Notamacropus eugenii: one gene and its partners. The protein of the gene in region 2 purifies or fractionates together with the protein of the main gene of each other region. This does not show direct contact. Links are inferred from orthologs where the notes say so. Each region holds a gene or a part of one and is shown on either strand. Other genes may lie near its edges. The genes, in order: PTAR1, SKP1, MTUS1 and FBXO38.

Region 1 (7,608 bases), about 240 Mb from region 2:
AGGAAAACCCCCACAAATTTACAATAAATTATTAAATTTAAGATGCATCATTTAAAAAATTATATTTTCTTGAAATGACACCAATTAAAAAAAAACTCCAAAACTGTTAAAGGGTTAAAGAAAGCAGATTTTGGGGGGAGAGTGCTAAGTAATTTTTTTTTTTTTAAGGAGGCAATTGGTCAAATAAGTTTGGGAACCTTCTGTGTATTATAAAAGGCTGAGGTCAGTCTTCCTTTTTCAAGCCCTTCCTCATTCCATGGAGGAATTTACGACCAAACAGGAGATAGAGAACATCATGAAATGCAAAATGGATAACTTTGATTACATCAAATTGAAAAGTTTTACACAAACAAAGCCAATGCAACCAAGATTAGGAGGGAAGCACAAAACTGGGAAAGAATTTTTGCAACTAGTGTCTGTGATAAAGGTCTCATTTCCAAAACACATAGAGAACTGAGTCAAATGTATAAGAATATAAGCCATTCCTCAATTGATAAATGGTCAAAGGATATAAACAGGTAGTTTTCAGAGGAAGAAATTAAAGCTATCTATAGTTACATGAAAAAAATGCTCTAAATCACTATTGATTAGAGAGATGCAAATCAAAACAACTCTGAGTTACCATATCACACCTATCAGACTGGTTAACATGACAAAACAAGAAAATGATAAATGTTGGAGAAGCTGTGGGAGAGTTGGAACACTAATTCATTATTGTTGGAACTGTGAGTTGATCAAATCATTCTGGAGAGCAATTTGGAAATATGCCCAAAGGCTTATAAAACTGTGCATATCCTTTGACCCTGCAATACCTCTTTTAGGGCTATATCCCAAAGAGATCTTAAAAATGGGAAAAGGACCCACATGTACAAAAATATTTATAGCAGCTCTTTTTGTGGTGACTAAGAACTGGAAATTGAGGGGATGCCCATTAATTGCGGAATGGCTGAACAAGTTGTGATATGAACGTAATGGAAAACTATCGTGCTATAAGAAATGATGAACAGGGAGACTTCAGAAAAACCTGTAAAGACTTATATGAACTGAAGCTGAGTGAAACGAGCAAAGCCAGGAGAACACAGTAATAGCCACAGTGTTAGAGGACTGTTTTTGATAGACTTAGCCCTTCACAGCAATGTAAGGATCTAAAACATTTCCAAAGGACTCATGATGCAAAATGCCATCAACATCCAGAGAAAGAACTATGGAGTTGGAATAAAGAATGAAGCATACTGTTTTCTCCTTGGTTATGTTTTGTTTTCTTTCTCATAGTTTCTCTCATTCATTTTAATTCTTCTATGTGACAAGACTAATGTGAAAGTGTGTTTAATAGGAATGCATGTGTAGAACCTATATAAGATTGCATGGGGAGGGGGAGAAAATTTGGAACTTGTGGAAATGATTTTTGAAAACAGAAAACAAATTAATAAGCATGGAAAAAATGTCTTTCCCCATTCTGGTACATTTTCCACAAACTGATCTTTTGAAAGCACAGGTGGCTTCCTACCTCCAGTATCAAATACAAAATACTCTGGTTTTAAAGTGATTTATAACTTGGTCCTCTCTTGCCTTTCCAGTCTTCTTAAACTTTACTTGCCCCACAAACTCAGCAATCCAGTGACACTGGACACTTGACTGCATTTTTACTGACCTAGAACTGTCCTTCCTCGTTTCTGCCTCCTGCCTACCTTCAAGTCTTAGCTAAAGACCCGTCTTCAAAAAGCTTTTCACAGTCCTTAATCTTAGTACTTTCTCTCTGAGATTATCTCCAATTAATCCTGTCTATATCTTATTTGTAAAGAGTTGATTCCACGTTGTCTTCCTCATTAGACTATGAACATCTTAAGAGCAGGAACTGGTGGGGTTTGGGGGGTTTTTTGGTTGCCTTCCTTTGTCTCCTCAGTGCAAGGCAGATTGTAGGCACGTCTTGCTTACTGATAGACCTGGTAAAGGGAGAGAAAGGACTGACATATAAAATTTAGAGTTGGAAGAGAACTTGGATGTCATGTGCCACCACTTATTACACATGAGGAAACTGAGGTCCAAAGAGAGGCCTAAAGTTACTTGTCCAAAATCACTGATATTAAGTGGTAGAAATGGGTTTGGAAGTCAGGATTTGTTACTCTACACCCAGCATTTTTTCTACTGTATCATACTGTCTCTCTCAAGAGTGAACCTAATTGACAATACCTGCTTCATCAGATAGCAGGATGAAAATATTAATAATAATATGCCTGATTGAAAACAAACTTGTGACACGAAAGTCTACACGTTACTTTTCTTTAGGGCACTCTATGTTCTGAGCACGATATCTTACTTTGTTATTACTCTAACTTGGAATTCCATTTCCAGTCTTTGTCCCTTTGCTTAGGCTGTTCCCCTCCATACCTGGGATAACACCCTCTTTACCTGCCTCTTAGAATCCCTAGTCTAGCTCATGTGCCACCTCCTAGGGAAAATCTTTTCTAATTTCCTTAGTTTTCATAATAAAATAAATATAAAAGCCTCAACCTACATCTCAATTATCACTCATATAGGTGTCAAATTCCCAGTAGAACAAAATCCCTTTAAGGGAATGGGCTATTTTTTCTTTTTTTCTAGCACTTAGCACAGGTCCTTGGAAGATAGCAGACACTTAATGTTTGTTGGGTTTGACCGAGAAACATTTTAGAATGTTAGATTATTTGCCTATATCAAATTATAGGTAGAGTGGCTTTTTTTCCTCCCTCTTTCAATGTAGAAGCGAGAAAACAACTTCTAAGATATGCTATATGATTTTTCTTCTGCATTTGGAATATGAATCTGCTCACAAAAATTCACTTCAAACTTGAACCTCATGGATATTTTCATTGTGCAGAAGGCATTTCTAAAGTTGGGTTTCCATAACTCAGTAATCAATCAATCGATATTATTCAATAAGCATTTATTAAGCACCTATTCTGTGTCAGGTGCTGTGCAAAGCACTGGGACACTAATGTCTTTTTAACTGGGCACCATCTGATTCCAAATTATTCATCTCAATAAGGTGAATGAAGTTATCACTGTCAGCCCCTCAAAAAAGACTGCCACAACGTACAGTGAAGCCACAAAATAACGTCACCAACCACAGCTAAAAAAGAAACTCAACCACAGCCCTGGTTACCTTACCTCCTTTCCTTCCCAAAGTAGGGAAAAGGAGCAAAATATTTTCAACATCTTAGGGACCAACTCTTCAACTTTGTGATTGCTTGTAAACATTTCCCCTTTATCCTTGCACGGATAAGGATGCTAAGCTTTAGGGGTAAAGACAACACTTCAATAAGTACAAAGGTGATTAGGATTCCACATGGAGGAAGCCACAGGGGAGGGCTAAAAGCATCTATAGATTATCTGAACCTCAAATTCCCCAGTGAAAGGTGGCCCTGAAATCAAACAAGCACACAAGGAGTTGATAAACAAACGTTTATTAAACCCCTAAAATAACAGTATCATTTATACAGTGCTTTAAAAGTTTCTAGTACCCTAAATTGAGACCCAATCATGTTTTATCTCATTTTATCCTCAAATCAACCCTGGGGTAGTGTGTGTATAGGTGCTATCATTACCCCCAAACTTACCTGAAAGAAAACCGGAGGCACACAGACCCTTAAGTGATTTGCCCAGGGTCACAGAGCTATTAATGTTTCTCTTTTACTCAGGAACTCTGGGTCTTTCCCTCCCAGTTTACTGGCTACATTTGTTGCTCAAAGATCAAACCTTAAACCCAGTTCACTCTAGAGCTCCTAGACTGGACAAGTCCCCACCACCTAGCACAGAGTGAATGTAATTACTAAATAGTAATTGTTTCTCTTTTACCCAGGAACCCGAGGGTCTTCCCCTGCTAGTTTGATTTTTTTTTTTTTAAATTACAGCGCCATCCTTTGAGTCATTTAAAGAAGCCTATTCATTGAATGGGTCACTCAAAGGGTCTCCCAGCGCATCCTGGGTCATCTCCAGTCCTCCTGATGAATTTGGGCCGTTGGACCCAAATGGCTGTGGAGGAGAAGTGAGGCTGGTGCCCTGCACAGCCCTCCCTCCCTCCAATCAAAGTCAACTGCAAGTCAAGTCATCATCCTGACATCACAGTCCTCTTAGAGAACCAAGGACAAACACAACTCAAAAACCCAACACCCTACCCTCAAGAGCTTACATTCCAGGACCTGTAAGCCACCGGACAGCCAGGAGAACAAAAGCTGCTTATCTGCTGACCTGGCCAAAAATACTGAGCTTCTTCCCCGTGGGGCTTAAAAAACCAAAAGGGATGACGTGGTTAAAAGGATTGTGCAAACCTTAGGAGAGAAAACACGGGCACGCTCCCCAGGCGGCCCCGGGAAGCTCCGCGAGGCAGGAGGATGCAAATATGGGGGGAGCGCGAAGCAAAAGGCGGGGGAGGGAAGGCAGGAAAAGAGACAATGAAGAAGGCGGGCAGCCGGCGACGGAGCAGGGGACCCTCGTCCTCACCCTCGCCCCTCAGGGGAGCGCGAGCCCAGGAAGTGTTCCCCGGCTCCTATCCCTTTAACGGGCGCCTCGCCCGGGGACGCCCCGGCGTCGGGTCGGCCTCGTGCGCACAGGCGCACGTGAAGGGGGAGGGGGGAAGCCGCGAGCCCCGCCATTTTCAACGCTCCAACACCTCCCCCTCCCCTCCCCGTGGGCTGACCCGGAAGCGCTCCTGCCCTCCTCCGAGGCCCGGCGGAGAAAGACGCGGGCGCGCGCGCGCACGCACGCACACATATACACACACACACGCACACACACACATATATACACACACGCGCACACACACATACACACACTGGGACACGGAACCCTCTACCCTCCTCTCCGCCCCCGGGAACATCCAGCAGTCAGCCTCCCGACTTACTTTCTGCAGCTACCGCTGCCCCCCTATCCCCCCAATTTTTTTTTAATAAAAAAAATGGCAGAGTCTACGGAGGAGGTGGCGGTGCTGGTGCAGCGGGTGGTGAAGGACATCAACAACGCCTTCAAGAGGAATCCTCACATGTGAGTTGGCCCCAACTCGGGGGAGGGGATGGACGCACGGACGGACGGACGGATGGTCGGACTGATGGACGGAGCTCGGAGGACAAGCGCCGGCCTCTTAGCCCTACTCCGATCAAGGAGCCTCCAGCGACCGCTATCTGCCCCGGAGGACACGAGGCCGGCCTCTCCCCTCCCTTCCTTCCTCCTCTCTCCCTCCTCTTCCCCTCTCTCGTCCTCCTTTCCCTCCTTCCTTCTCGTCCTCTTCCATCTTTTCTTCCTTCCCTTACCCCTTTCTTTCCCTCCTTTTCTAATGCTTCCTTCCTCTTCTTCCTCCTCTTTCTCTGCCCCCTCCCCCTTTCCTCCTCTAGTGTCAGTTAAGGTCCAAAAGGTGATCTCGACCTTAAAACGAAGGGGTTTCTCCTTCGTTTTTCTCTACCATCATCCCTCCTCCCCTCCCCCCATCCCAAACAAGTTACATTTTTCTTTTCCTTTGCTACTTTGTTTCAGGGCTCTCCTCTGAACCCTCGAGCCTAGGCCGGGAGGGGACAGATCCAGAGCTGCCAGGGACCTCCGGGGCTGGCTAGTCCAACTCCCTCCTTTGACAAATAGGGAGAGCGGAATTGCAAGTGAAGGGACTTGCTCAGGGACCTCGGAACCCTTGCTCCAGGCAGCACATCTCACTGCCTTCTTACTCTCATTTTACTAATGAAGAAACTGAGGCTCAGACAGGTTAATTGAGCAGCCAGCCCAAGGTCACAGCTACTCAGATTTTCTGATTTCAAGACCACTTGTTCTTTCTACTGTATTGAGATAGAAACTAACCATTAAAGGAGGAATTCCCTCTACCAGTTACAGATCTGCATCTGCCCTGCAGTGGAGAGTCTTAGATAGTTGCCCAGGGCACTGGGAAGTTAAGTCACTTGTGCAGGATCTCCCAGCTATTAAATTCTTCTTGAATTACAGGTTCCTGGCTTGGGAGGCCTGTTCTCTGTTCATTATGCTGTGCTGTCCCTCTTATGTGGGTATTGCCTATTTAAAAAAAAGTATTTTAAGGTTTTCAAAGCTTAGAAGGGCTATAGTGAGGAGTGGAGAATTTTTTAACTGCCCTGCCCTGTTGAAAGGTTCTGGATTTTTGCCTTTTCCATGTCACTTGACTCTGGTCAAGACAATTATAAAATACATAAGAACGGTTTGGGCACCCCATAAAGGAAGATTTGGGGGGGGGGTGGATATAGGTGCTGATAATCTCAAGTACCTGCTGAATCTATTAGGTATAGGATGAGGATTGGGGTAAAGCAAACCAAACTTTAATACTGCTCTATCTGTGTCATAATCATCACCCACACTATATGGGACTCTTTATTTTTGTTCCAGCCTCATTACCTACTTAAGTTTAACACAGCAGAGATGATTTCCCTTTTTTGGATAAAATGTGGACTAATCACCTGTTTAGATCAAGGTATAACAGAAATGTAGTTCAGAACAAACTTCAGCAGTCATCTAGTTCACACAGTTTTATAGAGGAGGAAATCAGATATCAGGGACTTGCCCAAGATCAGAGGCAAAATTTGAACCCAGGCCCTCTTCTTCCAAAGGTAATGCCTTTTCCACTGTAACATTCTAACTGTGCTCCTCTATTGTACACACGATATCAAGGGTGAGGAGGTCACTCCAGCATGATGGGAATAGGGAAAGACACTGGGAATATAATTTTTTTAAAAAAAATGACACAGACCTTGCCTGCTCTCAAGAAATTTATAGTCTCTTTGTGGGTTAGGATATTTATACAGATAAATTTCATAAAAGGTAGAGTGGGGACAAAGGAGGGAACCAGACAAAATGTTCTCTTCTTCTACTTCTCTCCCCACCATCCCAGCTGTCTTTTGGCTCTTCAAAATTAAAGTAGTCAGACGGATGTCTAGGAGTAACCATAGCAATTACTGAGTCCTAAAATTGGGAGTTTCATTAAACTCACAAATAACTGAAGGAGAGAAGGGAACATTTTCTCACAGTATTAAATGTATGTTTTCTTTGATGAAATAGCAGGAGGTAAAAGCAAGTCAGTCGTCCAGCCACCTTTTCAGGTTGCTCTAAATTCTTTACAGGCTTGTGAGGTGGACTGAGATGACATCACTTGGTAGGGCAAGTCTAGATTTATTAAAACAAGCACAAGTCAGTAGATGTGGTGTACTCCCCTTAGGAAAGTTTTAATTGTAAAACTTCCTTAATTTTAAACCTATTAGCTCAAACTTCTTGATAATTTAGAAGTAGAATAAGGAAAATAGACTGTGTGTTTTAAAATAAATGCCAACTTGTTTGAGATGCATTCTTAAGGAATAACATAATTTAGGTTTATTGTGACCTTTGATTCTTTTAACTAATATTATTTTATAATAAGTATTAAATTTTCATTTATATCATCTCCAGCACTAAACTATTCCTGTAAATTTGGACTTTTCAGTAATTCATATAAAACTGCTAGATTCTCTTATTTCAAATAAATGCTTTTAAATTTATAAGTAAATGTAAATAAAGGGTGAATGCTTTCTTTGAAAGCTGTCTTTGTATTTTTATTACAAAAAATTTTTCTGACCTTTATCTTTTCCTTCT
Region 2 (7,346 bases):
GCTAATTTTAGGTCTGAACATATCAACTACCTCCTTCCCAAACCAATCCCCAATTAAATTCAGTAGCTCCCTATTAACTCCCATGAACAAATTAAATCCTCAGTTTGACATCTTAAAAGTTCTTCATAACTTGACCCTTTCCTACTTCCTGAGTTATTTTCCTCACTCCAGTACAATCCAGTTACACTGGTTTACTCGTTGCAAATGCCTTGCACACAAGATGTTCACTAAGTTAATATCAGTTAAATGCACTTCAGTATTACCTTTTACATTACTGTGTGTACGTGTTGGTTCTGCCTACTTTTACACAAGGTTTATTTATCCAAGAATTACTCTGGGATTCATTCTCTGAAAAAGATTCTAGCTTTAAGATTAGAAAAAAATATTTTAAAGCATCTATGAAGTTTTACATTAAATGAAAATGATCTGTAAAATTTAAAATGTATGCTATAGACTTTATTAAATGTACTGCACGTTTTACAGCTGGAAAAAATGTTACAGCTGATTCAAATATGGTGAAAGTAAGCCTTAAAATTGAATGTTGGGAGCTGAAAATGAAAGATGGGAATTGATGACCCACAGTTCCTCTACATCAAATGTTATTGCAGTGAAAATTTTTTTTTAAGTAGCAGGAAAACAGCAATATATCAAAATATTTGTGTAGAAAAAAATGCAAATTTTGAAAAGATTTCATTCCTGGACATAAAAGCAGAAGTTTGAATTCAACGTACCAAAGCTTATCCTCTTATCATACCATACCACCAAACTAACTTGAAACCAGCCCTGCCCATGGAACTGAGGCCAGTTCCACTGCAGCAGATTTACAAATACCAACAACTTCAAAATTACAGAGACTCCATTGGTTAAATAAGGCTATTTTAGAATAAGCTGCCTGCCCAAAAGGCAGATAAATCTAGAGGCTTTAAAATATTAGCTTGCATAATGCATACACACAAGTGACATTAAGAGTTTTTTGGCTAAGATGTCATGGACTACAATAAGCCTGACATTTTATTAGAATGTTAAGTTCCCTCATTCATCCAAGATCAAAAAAGTCATTAACAAATTTGCTTGGTCACAAACTTCAGACCTATCTGGTTACTCTGGAATCTTTAAGATCTTAAATAGCACTGAAGGGATGTTAATCCAGAATTCAAAGAAATTTAGTCATCAGCCCTGGAAACAGCTCCACACAACGCTGCACTCCCCTCCCCCCAAAAGCCCTATTTCCAGAGAAGTGAATCTTCTGAAAAGTAGCCACCTAAACGTTAACGACTACAAATCTGAGTTCCTAAAATCTATGAATACTATTGGTTATATTTATTCCCTTCCTGATTAAATGGGTATGCATTTCTATTACTAAGATGAAGTACATTTATAAATGTCTGAGGTCTTAATATTTCTAACGCTTCCAACTTAAACTGCAAAATGATTTACGACAAATCCTGTCCATGAGGCTTACTGAAAACGTTCATGAAAAAAGCAGAAACATTTTGCCTCCAGGAACACGGAAAGTGTCTTTTTTCCCCTCAAGTCTTGCCATGCAGAAGGGATCCTTTCCACTTGCTTCTTTTGCCACAGATCAGGAAGGCCGTATTTTTAATGCACTGCAGAGCTGGCTCCTACCCCACTGTCCTCGGAGGGAGCTCTAGGGTCCAGCAGCTCCGGGGCTTGAACGCGCCTCGCCAACAATCCACGCCGCCCGCCCCCCGGCCCCGGCCCCGGCCCCGGCCCGGGCTCTCCTGCAGCCGCGGCCTCCCGGCCCTCCGAAGCCACACTCCGCCTAGGACAACGACCACTCTCCCGTCGCGGGCAGGCCGGGGCGGCTGGCAGGTGGCTCCCGAGATAGCGCAGTCATGTTGTTTACCCAGCGTTCGCAGCAGAGCGAACAAACAAAACGCACAAATGCCTTTACAATCCAGGGCGCTCCTACCGACCGGACCAATTTTACAAGAGGAAAAACCGAGACCCTCCCCCTGCACAGCAGGTGAATAAGGAAGTCTGGGGCTTCAACAGAACGGGAATAAGGGCCCCCCCCCTTCTAAGGACTGGGCCGGATTACCCAGCTCCGACTACCCACAACAAATCTGCTGAAGACCCCCGCGAGAGGGGTATAAAGGTAGACCCTTATGGCAAGGGGAGCACAGGAGGTGCCCCATCATTGAGGAGAACTAGCTCGGGCTCGGAAGGAGCCGGCGAGGGAGGTGCAGACGACCCTGGGGAAGGGGGGAGGGCCGAGGGTCGCACGCTGGGCGAAGCTGAAAAGTAGTTCAGGCTCCCCGTGGGAGCGGGCAGGGAGGCAGGCAGACTACGGGGGGCCGGAGAGGGGCCGTGAACGGGGCGCGGGCCTCGGGGGACCCCGGCGGCAGGTATACAGGCTGACCGAGTCAAGGCGCCTAGAAGCGGGACGGCCTGTGGCGTGTGAAGCTAACGTCGGAGCTCGAGCGGCCTGGAACAAGGGAGGGGAACAGGGTCAGGGCTCCCGCCTGCTCTGGCGGCCGGAAACGCCGAGAGAACGGGCAGGGGATGGGGGGCTGGCGAGCTCCGAAGGGAGCGGGCGAGGCCTAGGCCGCCGCCACACAGCAACAACGGGGCCGCGCCCCGCGGCTCCTCCTCCACCCTGCCTTCCCCAGTGCCGAGACCACTTACGGTTCCGGATGCCCGGGGACCCCGGCGGGCAAGCTGGCGGAGCCGAGAAGACCCGGTGGGCTAAGGGACAGGCGATGAGGGGAGGGAAGGCCCCGAAGCAGCGCGGAGCACCAAGACCACTACAGAAGCAGCGCCAGTGGTGGCGGCCTTTATAAGGGCGGACAGAGTGGAGCCAAGGACCCCAGGCCTGGTGACGTCACAGAGCACGCTGGGATGTCCGAGGACATTGCCTGACAGGGGAACGAGCACACACCCACCGAAAGGGGCCTTCTCTAGCCTCCTCTCTTCTGGCACTCTCGGAGGAGCTTTTGTCATTTCCACCCGTCCTGAGAGGGGCAGGCCTGGAGGCACAGGCAGGCTGGCTCGTTGAAGCTCCTGCAGCCTGGGGGCGGGGTCCTTCAGGCAGAGGCTGTCTTCAGCAGAATGCTCTGGAGCTGGGGAAGTTCATGGAGTCTACACCGTGGGTCTTTGTGGGGGACGAGCAGCTCCTGCTTATCTCTGAATAGCCAGAGAGCCAGTGAGGGACCCAGTGAAGGACAGCTGCAGGTCATTTTAAGGAATTTAACTTCTTGGGAGATGGGTGGAGAAACAGGAAAATTAAAGAACCCCCGATTTCTCTGATAGTTTACATTTTTGGACAGAAAACCTTTATTTTACAACGTGCTTTCCTCAAAATAATCCTGATAATTCAGAAAACATTATCCTCATTTGACAGCTAAGGAAAGCCAAACTGTTCCTGCCCTTTTCTATTTTCTTACTCGGTGACCTCATCAGCTGCCTTGAAATCTAATGATCATTTCTGTGCTGATGCCCTTTCCATATACTTAAGTTACCTATTAGACACCCCCAACTGAGCGCCCCCCCAAGGGCCTCAAACTGGACATGGTTAGAGGAAGGAAGCTGTGGGGCGGTAGAGTTGTCATTTTAGTGCTGGAGTTCAGATTTTTGCACCACCCTATGCAAAGCTGAACAGGTCACTTCCTGGGCCTCAGTTTCCTGTTCTGTAAAATGAGGTTTGAACTCATAACTTCCAACGATTTCTCTCTTTCCCCCCCAAAATTCTTCTGGGCTACACTTTTTTCTTTGGAGGGCATCACATCACTGCCTTTCCAGTCAGCCAGGCCTGGGGTGCCACCATCCTTTATTCATTCAAGTTTGCAACAACTTATTTATCAACTTCTCACTCCCCCTTATCACATATATCCAATCAGTTGTCAAGTCTTGTCGATTCTATTTCCATAATATCTCTCCTATTCTGCCCCTCCTTTGCTCTATTCACCTGTCCTCTTTAGTTCAGGTCCTTCACATCTTGCCTGGACTGTCCAGTAAACAGTCATGCCTCAAATCCATCTACTTTCCACATAGTTGTCAAAGTGATTTTCTTAAAGCACAGATAACCATGTCCCTCCCCCCTTTTTAGTAAAACCGCAACAGCTATTATTTATATATATATGTATACATATATATGTATATATATGTACCCAACTTTAACCAAATTTGCCTTACCATTGACTCTTGTGTCTCCCATCTCTGTGGCTTTGCATAGGCTTCCTAAACCAAAAATACAAAGCCATTTAGAACCTTTACTTACTCTTAAAACTGAATCTAGTCTTCAGTCTCTCCCTCTCTAGTGGTTCATTTCCTACTGCTCATGTCTCTTCTATCCTGAAAAAAATCCTCAATTGATCTTCCATCTATGCTACTGCTATATCTCTTCTGCCCACTGTAGTAGCAAACTCCTTGGAAAAGTTGTCCACAGTAGGTGTCATTTTTTCACATGAGAAACTCAGGTCTTTGAGAACGTTGAGTCTTAAGAACTTTGATCAGTGCAATGACTGGTCATGTCTCTAAAAGACGTATGAAGAAGCATGCTACCCACCACCTGATATAGAAGCGATAGACAAAAGGTACAGAGACATATTTTTGGATGACTGCTGTGCAGATTAATTTTGTTTGACTATGCTTACTTGTTATAAGTATCTTTTTTCCTGTTGCTTTTTAATTGAGGAGGGTGAGTTAGAAGGGAAGGAGAGGTCATTTATAAGCACCTACTGTGTGCCAGGCACTATGCTAAGTACTTTTACAAACATATTACTTCATTTGATCCTCACAACAATCTTTTGAGGTAGGTTACCTTTACGTTATTATCCTCCTTTTACAATTGAGAAAACTGAGGCAGAGATTAAATTACTTGCCCAGAGTAAAACAGTGAGTGTCTAAGGCTAGATTTGAACTCTTTTCCTAACTCCAGGACCAGCATTCTAACCACTACACCATCTAGAAGTTTAGAAGGACAAAGAAGGTGGATAGTTTGGGTAGAACATATGTGTGTGTGTGTATGTGTGTGTATGCACACACATACATACACACAATATATGTATGTATACATATATATATTTGATAAGCAAGCAGTATGAAATAGAGATTGATGGTTGCAAGTAGAATCCTCTTTTGTGTTCTTCTGTGTATATGGAAATGTTCTCTCACTCTCTCTTTCCCCCTCCCTGCCTCTGTTTCTGTTTAGGTTCAAAATAAAAGTAAAATGGGAAGCCTCTATAAAATTTCCTTTCTCCTGGTTAGTCTTAGTCCATGGTTCCACAACTGATAAAATGGATCACTTAAAGCTAGAGGTTCAAAATAAACTATCTCACTAATAAAAAACACATTACGCGCCCTCCCCCCCGCCCCAGTCTCCAAGACCATTAAAACTCTGCTCACAGGAAGGCAAAAAGTTCCAGGCAAGGAGACAAAAAGTAATAAGCAAAGAAGTTCCCTGAAGTCTAAAAACTCGGGCCAGAGTGGTAGCTTGAACTTTATATTCTCCCTGCCCAAAGATCCCCCAGCTGGGTCCCAGATCAGTGGGGGGAGGGGAGGTAGAGAAGTGGGGCAGTGCAATTCATACTGGCCCAGCTCTTTTTCATAGCTTCATCACTCATAACTGCCCTAGCAGGTTTTGTGGGAACATGTGGGATGTCAAAGCACTGCACTTCTTCCAGCGTCAGAGCCTGCAACACTCCTCACTTCAGCTCTGTGCTTATGTATGTATGTATATGTATATATACACACACATACACAATAATAGTAACATTATAGCCTGTATAACATATCACATAAATAACATGACATTCTAGCCTATGAGAGATATATATGCTATAAATTTTATACAGATATATATCCTATAAGATATATAGATATGTACTTATATATATTACAGGTTATAGCATATATATCTTACAGGCTAGAATGTATCTTATAGACTTAGATGTATCTAGCCATCTCTACAGATAAGTCTATCTATAGAGATGGCTAGATACATCTACATCCATACATATATCTCATTATCTCATAGGCTCTCATATTTTTTTTGTTGTTGTTCAGTCATGTGTGACTCTTCATGACCCCATTTGGGGTTTTCTTGGCAAAGATACTGGAGTGGCATGCCATTTCCTTCTCCAGCTCATTTCACAGATGAAGAAACTGAGACAAACAGGATTAGGTGACTTACCCAAGGTCACACAGCTAGTGAGTGTCTGAGGCCAGAGAGATGAGTCTTCCTGACTCCTGGGCCAGCAGTCCATCCACTGCATCATCTTGCCCCAACTATAATATTACCTGATTGTTCAGGTATGGAAGGGTCCCTTAGACCTAGTCCAACTCAAATTGAAAATCTATAATTACTTCTATTTTAGCTTCTGAATATATCTTGGCCTTTCTGCCCTTGAGGTGCAGGTAAGGATTGTTTTTAGTGAGGAACTGGAAAGATTTGGTGGGGTTTTTTGGTTTTGGTTTGTTTTTTTTTTTTTAGCCACATCCAGGGGCTCCATTTGCAGGCCTTGGCCTGGTAGGGCCATGGAGGCTCACTCTCTCCCCTTCTGCTGTTCCCAATTTCAGCCACCAGATGGTGCCAGATTCAATTCACCTTCAATTGAATAGGAAATAAAGTTTGAGGGAAGCCTTTGCATTTCTTTTCTGGAGGACCCCAAAGAACCATTTATCAACATGTGTAGGGATATCATCCTACACATGCCTATTTCTCAACAGAAAGAGCTTGATTAATCAATGAAGCTACCATCACATTTTCATCAATGACTTCAACAATTGGTATGCTTATCAAACTTGTAGGTCAAACAAATCTGCAAGAATAGTCGATAAACTTATTAAGCATCTACTGTGTGCTAGCTCTGCCACCATGCTAAGCCTGGGGGAGACAAAAAGAGGCAAAAGACAGTCCCTGCCTTCAAGGAGCTCAAAATCCAACAGGGGAGACAATAAGGACAAATATGGACACATGATCTATATATGTTGGGCCAAATCTAATGAGATGAAGTTTAAACTATTATATTCTTATACTAATTTTGTATATACTTACATATGTGCTTTGTCTCATCCCATTAGAATGTAAATTCAGGAGTAAGAACTGTTTCACTTTTGACCCCAATGCACAGGGTCTAGTACATAGTAGGTGTTTAATAAATGCTTACTGATGTATTACACTTGGCTGTTAAAAAAATCATCACTAATGCAATATTAGGGAGGTATGGCTGGATAGCAGTTCATCTGAAAAGAAAATCTGGGAGCTTTGGGTGGTTTACAAACTCAATATGGATCAAGTGTGACAAGACAGCAAAAAAACCAAACTCATTTGCTCTTAGGCTGCATTGAGCATCCAGAACAAGGGAGGTGATAGTCCCAACATA
Region 3 (7,224 bases), on a different chromosome or scaffold from region 2:
TTCTTATTTGGAAAGGGTTGAGAGGAGCCACTCACCTCCCAGAGAGGAAGCTGGGGGGGAGCCCTGGGGGGAGGGGTTGGCCTGTGCCATCCCTGCCAGCTCCAGGCCTGAGATCACTCCCAGTAGGACAGTGGGATGGCTCCTCCCCTGTCTTTGTCATCCATGGACTTCCCCTTCATCTGCCTCTCTAATATCCCTACTGTGCGTCAGAGTGGGTTTGGGCCTTGTGGGCCAGCTGGATTAATGGAGGTTCAGAGCCAAAGCATGGCTTTCCCTAGCCCTCGACAGTGCTGGAGGAATGAGAGGCAGCCTGGGTGGCTCTTGGGACTGGATTAGTCTAGAAAGGCTAGGTTCAGGATGATATGAAGCGGCCGCTTGTCCTTTCATCCTTACATCTTCTTTATCAGGGTCTCATGCTTCCCTGGGATGCCGGGAGCTACCACATTCCTCACTGGGGGGGAGACAAAGTCCAGCAGGCTCAGGCCAACTCCAAAAGCCTCTGCTCTCCTACCAGGCCCCGGCAGAGTTCGAGTGGCCTTTGAGGCCTTGGGGCCACCTCTCCAATTCCTCCACATCAGGCTAGGACTTTGGGGGCCAAAAAAGGCAGTGTTCCTGTGAGTCATGTAAAGGCCGGCCGGCTGTCAGAGAGGGAAGGAGGGACAAGCCATTGGGCTGTACTCGATGTTCCCATGAAAATGGAAAGCATTCCCGGAAGGTCCCCAGAACACTGGGTGGTCAGAAGAATGAAAACAAAGGCCCTGCCCTCCAGAGAGCCTCACCTGGAGGTGACAGTCACCTATGGAGATGGGGAAGCCAAGGTTACAGGGGAGTGACACAAGGCACAATGTGGAGGACTCCCTTGCAAATTCCAGGGCTTCCCACACAGTCTTCTGTCTACCAAGGTTTCTGGGAGGACCAAACACTTGGGGGGGAAGGGCAGGGCAGGACTGGGTGGTGATCTGCTTCACTGGAGAGAGCAACCACCTGAAGGAGATCTCACATCTGAGGAGTTTTTTCTTCCTAAAGGGAAAAGTTAGCTTTAGGCCAGCCCTGGTCCAACTGCCACCCAACACCAAAGCAAAGCAAACCCAGCCCTGAGGCTCCGTTCTGGGGAGGGTGTACAGTTTCTAGATAGGTCTTAAAGGCCACACCCTAAATCTGCCTCTAGCTTCAAGTCAGGGCTCTGGTCCCAGAATGGGTCAAAAGGAGAAAGTCATTCGTGGCTACAAAAAGCCAAGAAGAAAGGAGCATTCTCCGGCCTCTGAGGATTCCTTCCCAATTCCCTGGGCCTCAGTGTGTTTATATGATCAATGGGTGTTCTACCCACCAGGCTAGGAAAAGCTCCAAACAAAGTCTCAGGCGATACCCCGCACACTCCTGCAGGCTTGAGCGGGAGGGGGCGGGGAGGGGGGGAGGGGAGGGAGATCCAGGACAAGAACAACTGGATGTCAGGTCTCTGCTCTCCAGGCACCAGGCCGGGGTCCTGGGCTCTCCCAGACTTAACTATGGAGGTTAGAAGTATCAGCAGTAGCTAGCATTGTATGGCAGGTCCTGTGGTTTGCAGAGCACCTCCCAAATCCTCACACTGCCTGGGGATGGGTGGATGGGTGGGAGGGGTGGTGAGGACCTTGTATCACCAGAGAGACGCTGTCCAAGGTCCCACAGCTAGGATGGTCTGAGACTGGATTTGAACTCAGGGCTTCCTGACTCAGGTCCAGCATTCTGATTCTGGCCACCCAGAGGCCCTTAGCAGTAGACTCTCCTTGACAGGGAGATTCTGGAAGCATAAAAGTCATTCCCCAGAACTCATGGGATAGGACAGTCAGGTTCCCTCTCTCTTTATTAAAGGGAATCCAGAAAGCAGTCGAGGAGGGTGGGGGTGAGAGGAAGACAAAGGACTTGAGACTGCCAGACAGGGGCCAGAATTCCGCCTCAGGCTGTTCCTGAATGGGGGACCCTGGGTGAGCTGCTTGGCCTCAGTGTGCCTCACTGTCCCCCTTTGTAAAATGGGAATCATAATAGACTCCAAGAGGAGGCCCCTCCCTGGGACCCTGAAAGCATTAGCATGGTCACTAAGATGCTGCTATACAAATGGGAAATGCTCTCATTCTGCAGATGTCGAAACTGAGGCTGGGGGCAGTGCCTCGCCCACTCCCACCCCCATTCACACACTCACAGACTGCCAGAGGTCAGTCACAACTTTTGAATTCAAGGGCTGTGCCTGGCCCTTAGCCCCTTCCCCCCAATACAGGAGGGGAAGGGGTGGGTTGGAGAAACTGATCATCTGCTTAACCACTAGGTCCCGGAACCCCAGATTCCTAGTTAATGATGGGTTCCCTAGCCCGGTCCACACTCGGGGTCTCCCCTCCGGGGTTGGTACCAGGGGAGCCCAAGGCGTCAGCGGGGCAGCAGAGACGCCCCCTCCCACCTCCTTCGTGGGCACTTTGCCCACGGACTCCCGGGCATGGGTGTCCTCCCGTGCAAATGGGGACTCTGCAGGCGCACGGGCTGGCCCGGGCCTCTCCTTGGACAGCTGGGGAAACCGAAGTTGGGAGGGAGCAGAGCTGTAAGCCAAGGTCTTCCACGGAGGGGGTGGCCAGGCCGGTTACCCCTTGGCGACGCGCCCCGGGGAAGGTGCCCCTCTTCTTCCCCACCCCCTTCCCCCCAACACGCGCGCACACACTCCCACGCACGGAACCCGTGGCAGGGCACCCACAACCGCAGTGCGTCCTCAGGCTCGGCCCTGAGCGTAGACAGAGCCACGGAGTCACGGGCCTCCCCACCCCACTCGCCTCCCGCCTCCACTCCCTGGCCCTGGCCGTACCTTGGGGCTCGCGGGTCTGCCAGACGCTCCGTCCAAAAGCCCCAGAGTCCGGGGCCCCGAGCTCAGCCAGAGCGGACACCAGGACCCGGCTGGCCGCCGCCGCCGATCCCAAAGCGTCCAGCCGCTCCAGGGGCTGACTCCGACGCCCGGGGTCACTCCGTCCGCACCTGAGCGGCCTCGGCCGCCCCGCCCCCATCCCCTGGCCGCCCCGGCCCCGCCCCCGGGTCCTCCTCCCGAAGCCCCGCCTCTCAGGGTCAGTCCTCCAGCCTGGTGTCCCCCGGTGCTTGGGGCCCTTCCCCAGCGCTATCGCTGCGTCTGCCGGACTCGAGCCCCGGCCCTGCGTTTTGTGGGGGTCTCAGCCTGGGGCTGGAGCCCGGCGGCCCAGAGACGGGCAGGGCCCGGCCCAAGGTCACCCAGCAGCCGGGGCTGGACCTTGGGAGTCCCAAGCCGGGAGCGTGGCTGAGGCTTCTCTGTCTTCCTTCCCGGGCCACCCCGGCCTGGCCTGCGCAGGGTGCCCAAGGGCAGGGCCAGTGGTAATCCTGAGCATGGGACCCAGCCCTCCCGTCGTGGGCCACCCTGGCCCGGCCTGCGCAAGGAGCCTAGGGGCAGGGCCAGTGCCAGCTCCGCGTGTCCCTGACCCTCAGGTAACACTGACCCAGCCCTCCCGTCGTGGGCCAGCCCGACCCGGCCTGCGCAAGGTGCCCAGGGGCAGGGCCAGTGGTAACCCTGAGGATTGGACCCAGCCCTCCTGGCCTGTCACAGCCGCCAATTGTGTGTGCTGCTGGGGAACCTGTTTGACTTCATTTTTTCCAAGAGATCCACATCGGGGTGGGGGAGAGGAGAAAAAGCCCAGCCCTGAGCTGGGAGCTGCAGGGAACCCTGGGGCCCCTGGCCACCCGGTACTGGCACCCACCCTCGGGATGCCTTCTGGGGGCAAGCAGTGCTGAAACTGAGGGGGGAGGGCTGCCAGGAACCTTCACCTGGGCACCTCAGAAGCCACATGATGCCCACTGGGGCAACAATTAGAGAGTCAGACCAGAAGTTCAAAGAGCCAGATGAGGAAACAGGATCAGGGAGGAGAACCTAATCACCCAAGGTCACGCTGGCAGTAAATGGCAAAGGTAGGATTTGAACCCAGAGCCTTTGACTCCAAACCCACCAATCTTCCCACTGGGCTAGCATCCACTTACTAGTTAGATGATCTTGGACAAGTCTCTTTCACTCTCTAGGTCTCAGTTTCCCTCTCTGTAAAACCTAAGACCATTCAATCCTAGCTCCAGAGCTGGGGAGGGTCTCAGCCACCCTCTCCTTTTACAGGTGGAGAAACTGAGGCCATGGGCAGAAGTGACTTGTCAAAATTGACCCTGCTTAGGCACACCATGTACAACCAGGACCCCCAGCTCCAGACCCAGGGCCCCTAGTCTCCCAGGTACCATCAGCCCCCTTGGAGCAGGGGGTCCTTGCACTTGCCCCAGGATGTCAGAAGAGGAGGCCTTGCTTTGTCTGTCTTCCAGCCAGGGTCCAGGAGTCAGGCATCCCATTGAGTTACATGCACCAGTCTCCCGATTGTTTTCCTTTGACAGATGAGTGTTACAAATAGCCATGTGGTTATTAGTCTTTCCCACCACAGGTCTGACTCATTCACCCCTGGCATCCGTTCTGGCACCTCCCTGCCCCACTGGCATCCAGGCATTGCGTAACCCTGGGCATCAAAGTTCTCCAGGCTAGGGGCTTGCTCCTCACCAGACTGAACCCCCTGAGGGCAGGCCCCAGACTTCTCAGTAGTCTGTGGACCTGGTGTTGAATAACAGTATCCTATTGTGCAGCCTGGCTGACCCCAGCACCCATGGGTGAGGGGGGGCAGAGGAAGAGGATCCCATGGCGAGCCAATGCCCAGTGAGCACCTCCCAGCCCCCTTCTCCAAGGCTCCAAATGCACTGTCCTGGCACACACCTGGGGAGGCTGCCCTGTGCCCCCAACGCCAGGCCAGTCTCACTCTGTGAATCTTAGATTGGAGACTCCAGGGTTTGGCCTCTCAAGGCTGAGAACACAGGGTCCCTACCAACAAGGGAGCAAAGAATCAGCAGGCCTGCTGTCCTGAAAGGTGGGGGCAGCCTCAGGGCCGTTCTTGAGAGCCAAATCCCAGGAGGCTGCCCGCTTGTAACATGCCTCTGATCTCTGCCACACTCACCCTCCCCTGAACAAGCAGGGGAGCATTCCATAGTCAGTCAACAAGCTGACTACAGGCCAGGAAGGCCCTCTCAGAGAAACTGAGGCCAGTGCCACACCCTCGCTTTGCCAAGCAAAAGACCCTCTACAGAAATGCCAGCCTGGGGCATTTGACATTTTATGGCAAAAGAAAACAATCAAATCATCCTCCTCTGAGAGTGGTGACTCAGCTGGGCCACAGGCCTGTGGCAGAGGAAGGCTTTCCTCTTCCTCTACAAGAGATATGTTTGTTGTAAATGGATGTCCAAAACCAGTTGTGGGCAGCCCTCCTGTGACCAATCGGAGCATGACTGTCCTTAGCCTTATTCATCCTCTTGGGGAGTCCTCCCTGGAGATTCAGCTGCCAAGACCAAAAAGCACTTGTTGATCAGGCCACTGTTTCCAGGTAAACCAAGTCTGGTAGGAAGGACGTTGTCCATTCATGTGGCCCAAATTGGCTCTCATACCCTGCACTGAACCAGAGGCAGCTCTGTGTCAGAGTGGGCAGAGTGCCAGGCATGGAGTTGAAAATGCCCAGTTCAAATCTAACCTCCAACACTTACCAGGTGTGTGACCCTGGTCAAGTCACTTAGCCTGTCTGACTCAGTTTCCTCAACTGTAAACTGGGGATAATAATAGCATCCACCTCCCAGGTTTGTTGTGATGGTCAAATGAGATAATAAAGGTAAAGTGCTTAACCTTGAACTTAGTACACAGTAGGTGCTTAATCAATGTTTGTACCCTTTGCTCTTCTATGCCCAAGGCTCCTCCTTCAGAGAGGCAGGCACAAGGAGGGAATGTTGGGAATCTAATACTGAGCCATTGACTGTGGATTTGCACCCAGCTCCCCTGAACCCAGACAGATGCACGTTGTCTCTATAACAAGCCATGGGAGGCTCTTGAGAGGAGCCTCTCCGAGGGCAGAGACTTTCAGGGGTTCTCCATTAGGCTAATTACCATTCACCCGATCCTCCGGCGTAACCGAATCCGGAGCCTGCCTTCCCGCGGTCATTATTCCCATCCCGAATGTCGGTCTGTCTGTCATCAAATATTTATCTTCTCCTTTGTTCTCTGGAAGGCGTCTGAGTGTGGAGAAGGACGCGGCGGACACGAGTGCAGGATAGTAGGACCGAGATGGAGGCTGCGAAGCGATCGGGGCCAGAACGTGCGGAAGCCAAGGGGCAGCCCCGCCCGTTTTCTTCATTTATCCATTTGATTCCTCTTTATCTTATTAATTAGTTGGTTTTTCTTTTCTTAATCTTCGTTTAAGCTCATTGAGCATGCAATTTTCAGAAATTTAATGTTTGGGCGGGCTTGGGGATTTTAACTTATTTATTTTTCTTTCTTTTTTCTCCTTAATAGTATTTTTAACCCAATGACATGTGAAAATAGTTTGGACATTTCTTTTTGTAAAATTGTGAGTTCCAAATTTTTCTCCCTCTCTCTCTCTCCACCCCCCTTCCCAAGACAGCAAGCAGTCTGACATACAGGTTATACATGTACAATGTTAAATCTATTTCCACATTAGTCTTGTGGAAGAAGAATCAGAGCAAAAGGGGAAAAACCACAAGAAACAAAACAAAAAAAGAAAAATAGTCTGCTTCCATCTGCATTCAGACTCCATAGTTCTTTCTCTGGATGTGGAGAGCATTTTCCATTGGAGTTGTCTTAGATCCAAGCATTGCTGAGAAGAGCTAAGTCTATCAAAGGTGGTTCTCGCACACTGTGGCTGTTACTGTGTAGAGTGTTCTGGTTCTGCTCACTTCACTCAACATCAGTTCAGCAAAGTCTTTCCAGGTTTTTCTGAAGTCTTCCTGTTTATTTCTTATAGCACAAGAGTATTCCATTGCATTCATAGACCACAACTTGTCCAGCCATTCCCCAATTTATGGTCATCCCCTCGATTTCCAGATCTTGGCCACCACTAAGAGAGCTGCTAGAAATGCTTTTGTACATGTGGGTCCTTTTCCCATTTGTATGATCTCTTTGGGATACAGCCCTAGAAGTGGTGTTGTTCACAGTCCCTTTCATCCCCCACCTCTCCATCCCTGGGAGGACTGCTGCTTCTCTTTTATCCATCCACTCCCTCTTTCCTTCTGCTCGGAAGGATGGCAGCTATTTGTTATCATGCCCACCACATTTGGAACCAAAGCAGTCAGTCATGAGAAACTTTATTCCTTTAATTGCTTGTA
Region 4 (7,513 bases), about 69 Mb from region 2:
ACTCTTGAAGCTATCAACATTCATACATATAAATGCTAATATCCTGACTATTGCTGTTCATCCGTACAACTTCTCCCTGAACACGTTAGTCTGCTCTCTAATCAGAATCTCCCATTCTTCCAATTTACCCATACCACCATACTCTTAAACCTTTCTCTTCACCCTCGGCATGACCTCTAAATCTTCCTTCCAGTCTTTTAAGCCCTTTAGAAAGAGATGCTAAGTTAGCATCTAGCATTCTTCAATATGTTCAAGTCATTAGGCCTAGATAAATTCTAGCCCTTAAGTACTGAAAGAAATTATGATTGAATGAAGAGGTACCCCATAGACAAGTTGTGGAGATGGACAAATAGAGTTTCAGTTTTCAAAAAGGGGAAAATTTGCTGTTCAAGAAAATTCGGCTTAGCAGTACTACTTCTGGGATGATGTAATAACCACATTTTAGGTCTCTTCTAATGGTAACCTGTCTTGCTTCCCACTTAATCATAAAACATGAAACAAGACTCTTCTAAAACATAATTTTTATTCTTGCTTCCTTTGAAAACTGGAGTTCTCGTATTCTATTGAGCTTGGAAAAACAAATCATTCCCTGCTATTTCAAATTTTTTTTATTCTATTGTTCCAAAGCCCATACTAACTATATTGTTTAATGATTAAATGTCCAGATTATCTATCTCCCCTACCACAGTTCAGATTATCTCTCACCTACTCACATTCTCCTGTCTTGTAAAATTTAAAATTAATAATAAATGCTCATATTCATATAGCTCTTCATGGCTTACAAAGCACTTTATTCACAACTACGTTAGGTTGTTCTGCCTGGCATTTCTCCTAATTCTCTTTCATTCTGCAAAGAGCTTATAAGGTAATAGGATTTAGTGCCAAAAGATTAACTAGTATAACCTCCTTATTTTACAATGGACAAATGAGGCCCAGAGAAGACAAGTGACTTAGCCATGCTTAAAGTATCAGAGCTAGGAATTCAAGCCTAGATCCTCTACCTTTTTCACTCTACCAGTTCAACCCTCAACTTCTGTGGTAAGAACACTTCCTCCTTCCTTAATGTTTTCTGCATCCTGAGATTTCTAAGATTTCCCAGATCAGACAGAGGCATATTCTTACCTTAATATCTTCCATTCTCAACTTCCTCAATTCAATACTCCCTCTTTCACATGACGACAATTCCTCAGGTTTGATTACCTTATACCAGCACAAATATTTCAAAATTTAGAAGCAACCAAACATACAGTTCAAGTAGTGAACTTGGAAATTTCAGGTGCCTGATACTTAACTCTTTGTCTCTTCCCATATCAATGGACAAAGCCTATTACTATATCTTTCAACTGAAAAAGGGATTAGAAAAATACTGCCTGCATACAAAAGAGTAAAACCAGCGAGTAGAAATCACATGATGGCAGCTTAGAGCTTAATATGAGACCCTCCTAACAATTAGAATAACACAGAAGTGTTATGAATTATCTTGGAGAGGTGAGGATTCACCACCTCTGGAGAGTTTCAAGCAGAGGGCAGATGAGCAACCATTTGTCAGGGAGGTTATTATTAAGATTAATAAAGGGTTGGACTTATAATTCTCCATTTAGCTCCCTGATCTCTTCAGTAAATTCTCTTTTAAAAAGGCTCAATCAAATCATCTTGTCTATTGGTTATTTAATTTGTCTCTTTGTCCAGTATATTACAATGTCAATCAGCTCAAAATCAATTCCACTAAAATCATTCTATACAACCTATAAAACACACTCCCACACCCTGAAACACACCCACGTTCAATTTTACAATTTAAATGAAATGAGGATATCCTACCTTATATTTTTAAAAGGAAAAGGGATAACTAAGTTCCCTTGAAGTTGTAGGCTTCTAAAGCTCATACATAGAGCCGTAAATGGTCAAGCATTATACAAACAGCAGTAATTGTTAATATTAATAAAAGACTCTTCAGGAGATAAAGATAAAATAAGAGTCCCTGCCTATGAAGCTAATATCTAGTGGAAGAGATCAAGACAGAAATAACTACAAAATAATTTACAATATAACAACTAGAAGAATGGTACCTCCGAGTTACCTTGGGAATTGAAAGGTAAAGATATGGCTTCTGTCTCACAATGAAAACTCATGGAAGGTTAGCAGGAGGTGGCATTTGAACTGGACCTTGAAGGAAGGTTCAAGTTTCAACAAGTCAAACTGTCAGGGTGAGCAGAGAAGCCCATGGAAAATCAGTCCTACAAGAAACCTTTAGGACCACCGACTCCACCCTTGCCCAAACTCTGCTCCATGCCAGGGAAGGGGCTTGCGATATTTCCCATAAAGATGGAATGACGTATTTCTTTTTTCATCTCAGGCAGAACACGTTTCCCCAAGATTTCCTCAAGCCCCCGATTCATGGGCTCATACTTTACTCGGCTTGGTCTCAGCGCTTCCCCTCCCTTCCTGCCCTCCTTCTCTACTCCAGCCACAGGGCACCCCTCGGCGGCCCCCGCCCCGGCTCTGCGTCCTTCTCGCTTCTCCCCATCCCCCCTCTTCCCAGCCAGGTGTCCGGCTCCCACCGTCCACCGCCCCCATCCCCGCCTGCTCCTCCACCCTGTCCGTGCCCTGCTCCCACCCTCGCTCTCCTGCGCCCCCGCCCCCGGCGGGTCCCGGACACCCCCGTGCGCCCCCTCCCCCTTTCTCCTGCGTCTCGCGGCCGTGACAGCGGGGCTCCCCCTCCCCCATTACCGGGCGCCCGGAGGCCGAGGCTGCGGCGGAGGCTGCGCGGGGCTGGGCCCGCGGGAGGACCATGTTCCGGCTCCGAGGCTGCGGCTGCGTCTGTGAGGGAGACACAAGAGGAGACACGGGCTCAGGAGGGGCGCAGCCGCCGCGCCCCGTCCGGACCCGGAGCCTCCCGAGGTTTGGCCGGTGCCTCACCTGCCCGGCGGCCTCCTGTCTGTTATTGTGGCTCGGGAAGGGGGAGGGAGGGAGAACCCCGGCAAGCACTTCCGGCTCCGCCGCCGCGCCGCTTCCTTTTCCGTCGCTGCCCAGGACCACTTCCGGGGCAAAATTGCGTGGGGTGCCATGTTAGGAGTGGCGCCGTGAGGATAAGCCGAAAACACCATGTTGTGTGTGGTGGATGTGGGCGTTAAATTGTCGGGGAAAGGAAATTAGTGTGGGGTAGCCTTGGGGTGCCCTACTGGGCCAGCTGCTGACACACTGTGACACTTTGGCGGGGGCACCTTCCCTCATTGAGCCTCAGTTTTCCGCACCTGTAAAACGGAGAACGACTTGGCATAGATGGAATCGACCCGAGGTGATGAAAAAGAACCCTTCTAAGGAGACCGATCGAGACGTGAGTGCTTGTCCCATCATTTCCTTCTTCTCCTCCCTAAAATGAGGGGGTGGACTTCAGGAACTATAAGGCCCTTTCAGCTGTGTCCTGTGATTTCTTTAATCAGTCAACATTTATTAAGCTCCAGCTGTGTGCCAGCCATTGAAAAAAGCGCAGGATTTTGTCAGTGCGACAGAGACCTTCATGGAAGCCTCAACGTAGGTTGAGGAAGGACCTGGGATATCCTTTGTTCTAGCTCAGACCATCTTCTCCCCTGGGCCTCAGTTTCCCCATCAGTAAAAGGAGAGAATTGGACTAGATAAATACCAAGTTCCCCTTTGTTTCTAAATCCCTTGATTTTGTAAACCCGTTCCCTCTGGAGGCAACTCATTGCACTTGAGGACAATTAAAATTGTTTAAAAGTCTTTCTATGGTACATCCCCTCACCAGTATTCTTGCGTGCTAAACCTTTTCTATATATTTTCTAAAATATGGCAACCAAAATTTCCCCCCTAATTCTGTGAAATTTTCACAGGATCTATACCTAGAAAGAGCCTTAGATTTCATCTACCCCACTCCCTACTTGGAGAGTAAACCTATGAGTAGGAATTGTTTCATTCTTAGATGATTAATAAATACTCATTGGTTGATATATTCAAGTGTGATTTGCCTTGCCTAAGGTCAGACTAGTCAATAACAGGATTGTGATTTGAACCCAGATCCACTGATTTCTCTTCTACTGTTTTTTCCTGCCTTATAAATGCTCAATGATTTATTGGGCACACTGCTTTTATTTCTCTGAATTACTCCATACACAATAACTCTATTCTCTGAATTTATAAATGACTTTGAATTTGTATGCCTCAGGTTCTTAAGCAGAAGATCACCATATTCCTGGTTGTATTGTGGATGACTTTGAGAATAGAGAGTTTGAAGGAAAACAGGAAACTAGGGAAAAGTTTTTACAGCATGTTTCTATGATGAGAAATCCTCATTTCTCAAAGATATAGGAAACTGAAGCAAACTTATAAAAATAAGAGCTATTCACCAATTGATAAATGGTCAAAGAACTTGAACAGGCAGTTTTCAGAAGAATAAATCAAAGCTATCAATAGTCATGTGAAAAAATACTCTAAATCACTATTGATGAGGAAAATGCAAATTAAAGTAACATATACTACCTCACACCTATCAGATTGGACAACATAATAGAAAAGGAAAATGACAGATGGTGGAGGGGATGTGGAAAAATTGGAACAATAATGCATGGTTAGTGGAGTGGTGAACCAGTTCAACCATTCTGGAGAACGATGTAGAATTTACAGTTTAGTCCAGAGAGCTCTAAAACTGCATACTCTTTGACTCACCAATATCACTACTAGGTTTGTATCTCAAAGTGATCATAGAAAAAGGGAAATTAATGTATTTGTACAAAAAGATGCAGCTCTTTTTATGATGGGAAAGAATTAGAAATCAGAGGGGTGCCCATCAATAAGGGAGTGGTCAAACAAGCTGTGGTATATGATTGTGATGGAATATTATTGCACTATAAAAAGTGACAAGCAAGATGGTTTCAGAAAAACCTGGGAAGACATATACATTGAAGCAAAGTGAAGTGAACAAAACCAGGAGAATATCACACAAAGGAACAGCAACAGGATAATTAATTTACCTACTCCGATGAAGGCATTGCTCCAAGATAATTCCAGAAAATTCATGATGAAAAATGCCTAGCGGGGGAAAGCTTGGGGATGATGTTGTTCTCTGCATTGTTATTGTGTATAGATTTTTGTTACTATGATGGATTTGACTTTCAAGTATCTGAATAAATGTTTTGGTTCTGCCTTCCATGTGGAGAGTCTGTGGTATTTTGTGATTCAGAATTGCCCTGGGATACTCATGGCTGCTTAGGCGCTATGAATATTGTATTCGTTCTACAGGGGAAGCAGGAATTAAGAAGCAGGGAAGCACTCTGCTCTGCTCAGAGAGAGAGGCGACTGGGATAAAATTATATCTATCTGATCCCTTAAATATAATTTTTTAGGGTATATAAATTTTAGGTTCATGCTAACCATCTGATAGCCATTTCTTAAAGAGGAATTCTTAAAAAGGCCCCAAGCTTTATATTCACAGATGAACCCCTTTCCCACCAAAGACCAATTTCACAATGAACTTATAACAAATAACAAAGAATTCCGTTTATCCAAGTCAATAGTATATCTCCATATATGGCTACTTTTGTGACAGGGCAGCTAGGTGGCACAGTGGATAGAGCACCAGTGCAGGAGTCAAGAGGACCTGAGTTCAAATCTCACCTCAGACACTTGACACTCCCTAGCTGTGTGACCTTGGGTAAGTCACTTCACCCCAATTGCCTCATCCTAGGTCATATCTAGTCATCCTGGTGAATATCTGGTCACTGGATTCAGATGGCTCTGGAGGAGAAGTGAGGCTGGTGACCTGCACAGCCCTCCTTCACTCAAGAAAAAACAAAGCCAAGTGCAAACCATGTCATTATTTCCCTGATGGCATGGCCTTCAGCAGCGAAGGTCGAACACACCTACTTTTGTGACAAATGAAAAGTTCAAGAGACTCAGTTTCAGGGTAATTAATAATTTTATTAAATATGGCTAGTGAATAAAAGGATGGTCATTTCATTTTCATAAACCAAAGAAGCATCTTGGGGGCCTCTGAATGCTTAAGAAGCCTTTGGAAAAGGTAATGTACCTGAGGGTGGAAATCAACTCAGACTGGTTAACAATTAGGGGGTAAACATATTAATGAGGAAGTAAGCAAAAAGTCTTCAGCTCCCCCTGCAGAGAGTGTGGGGAATTCAGCTGCTTCCAGCAATATGGGCAAAAGAATCCATCTTCAACCCCTTCATTTGTTAGGTCACCCAAAATTCTAATGGAAGGTCCCAAGGATGGACAGGGGCTTATTTCCTAAAGGTAAGATCTTGTTTACACTGTATTCTGTTTGTAAGGTCTCCTAGTTAGGTGGAGTCCAACCAATCAAAAAGCATGTACCTGAAGGATTTCAGTAATCTCATCCATAAGAGATGTCCTTCAAATTCTACTTGAATAACCCTACAAGGGGCAGATTTCTTAATGAGGAAATAGAAAAGGGAAAATGTTCATCTCAATTAATAAATGGTTATTAATATAAGAGAGAAATAATCATTTTTTTCACTTTCTCTGATTTCTTTTTGCTATTGGCTTAGATAAATGGGTTTCTTTTCTAGATCTGATATTCTGTCATCTATTTCCAAATCCAGTACTGTTTCTATACTTTCATATTTTGAGATCTATGTATATTTATTGAATTAACGAATGAACTCCCAGCTTTGTTACTTACTGTGGGGGACTGCTGGCATCCCCACATGGCTCAGTGAAAGCAGTGAAGAAGAAAGACACATGGGCAGGCAAGAGAAGATAGGGCAACTCCATTTGTTGATCCGAGGGTCAGGGTATTTAAAGACAGAAACTGCAAGTCTACATGACAATCTACTCATCTCCTGTCCTAGTAATTTGGCCAGTCTTATTGTCTTAAAGAATGTTAACCTAAAGGGCATTGTCTGTTTTACATATCCGTTGTATTCTGTAGTTCTCTTGTTTATCTCATGGAGACAACACATCCAGGGAGGCTTGGAGAGCAATTCTGGATGATAATGAGCACAGTCTCAGAGAACAGGTTTTCCCCGAAGTTCTATCCTGAACTTGCCACCATACTCCATCCTAGCCCTCAACAACTTACCACTCATATGACCTTGTACAAGTCACTTCAGCTCACTAGACCTGTTTTCTCATATGTAAAATGCAACCTCTAACATCTCTTCTGAATTTAAATTTTATAGGAACAAACTTCCTTTACATCTGTATCTATTCTCCCATTCCTTCAACTCACTGACTTGGCTTCTCCCACATGTCACTGCATCCTTGATATTGCTTGACCTCTATGACCTCTTCCAGAATTTCCCTTTGCCACCTTTACCCAACTTCTCATTTAAAGTTCATTCTATTAAAATCTTTCATGGTACATAGATCAAGGTGGCTATTGTGTACTGGTCATCTGTTCATTCTCCCTCTATTCCCAAGGAATTTCACACCTGAATCACTGTCTTCCTCCCTTCCCCAACTCCTATCTCTATATCAGGAGCATTCAGCATTTATGCTGATATTCCCTCATACACACTAATCT

The links.
Region 1: the proteins of SKP1 (region 2) and PTAR1 purify together in Homo sapiens (co-immunoprecipitation; 3 studies listed by BioGRID and IntAct, with this or other methods). This does not show direct contact. The link is inferred for Notamacropus eugenii from reciprocal best matches to the Homo sapiens genes SKP1 and PTAR1.
Region 3: the proteins of SKP1 (region 2) and MTUS1 purify together in Homo sapiens (affinity purification with mass spectrometry; 3 studies listed by BioGRID and IntAct, with this or other methods). This does not show direct contact. The link is inferred for Notamacropus eugenii from reciprocal best matches to the Homo sapiens genes SKP1 and MTUS1.
Region 4: the proteins of SKP1 (region 2) and FBXO38 purify together in Homo sapiens (affinity purification with mass spectrometry; 6 studies listed by BioGRID and IntAct, with this or other methods). This does not show direct contact. The link is inferred for Notamacropus eugenii from reciprocal best matches to the Homo sapiens genes SKP1 and FBXO38.

What each region holds. Positions count from the first base shown.
Region 1 is NC_092872.1:103,139,147-103,146,754, reverse strand, and holds the start of PTAR1 (protein prenyltransferase alpha subunit repeat-containing protein 1), read left to right. Parts: upstream 1-4,606; 5' UTR 4,607-4,933; coding exon 4,934-5,019; intron 5,020-7,608.
Region 2 is NC_092872.1:341,052,042-341,059,387, reverse strand, and holds the start of SKP1 (S-phase kinase-associated protein 1), read right to left. Parts: upstream 3,021-7,346; 5' UTR 2,650-3,020; intron 1-2,649. UniProt on the Homo sapiens protein: Essential component of the SCF (SKP1-CUL1-F-box protein) ubiquitin ligase complex, which mediates the ubiquitination of proteins involved in cell cycle progression, signal transduction and transcription.
Region 3 is NC_092878.1:168,562,041-168,569,264, reverse strand, and holds the start of MTUS1 (microtubule-associated tumor suppressor 1), read right to left. Parts: upstream 3,019-7,224; 5' UTR 2,825-3,018; intron 1-2,824. UniProt on the Homo sapiens protein: Cooperates with AGTR2 to inhibit ERK2 activation and cell proliferation. May be required for AGTR2 cell surface expression. Together with PTPN6, induces UBE2V2 expression upon angiotensin-II stimulation.
Region 4 is NC_092872.1:410,104,241-410,111,753, forward strand, and holds the start of FBXO38 (F-box only protein 38), read right to left. Parts: upstream 3,010-7,513; 5' UTR 2,920-3,009; intron 2,821-2,919; 5' UTR 2,731-2,820; intron 2,167-2,730; 5' UTR 2,081-2,166; intron 1-2,080. UniProt on the Homo sapiens protein: Substrate recognition component of a SCF (SKP1-CUL1-F-box protein) E3 ubiquitin-protein ligase complex which mediates the ubiquitination and subsequent proteasomal degradation of PDCD1/PD-1, thereby regulating T-cells-mediated immunity.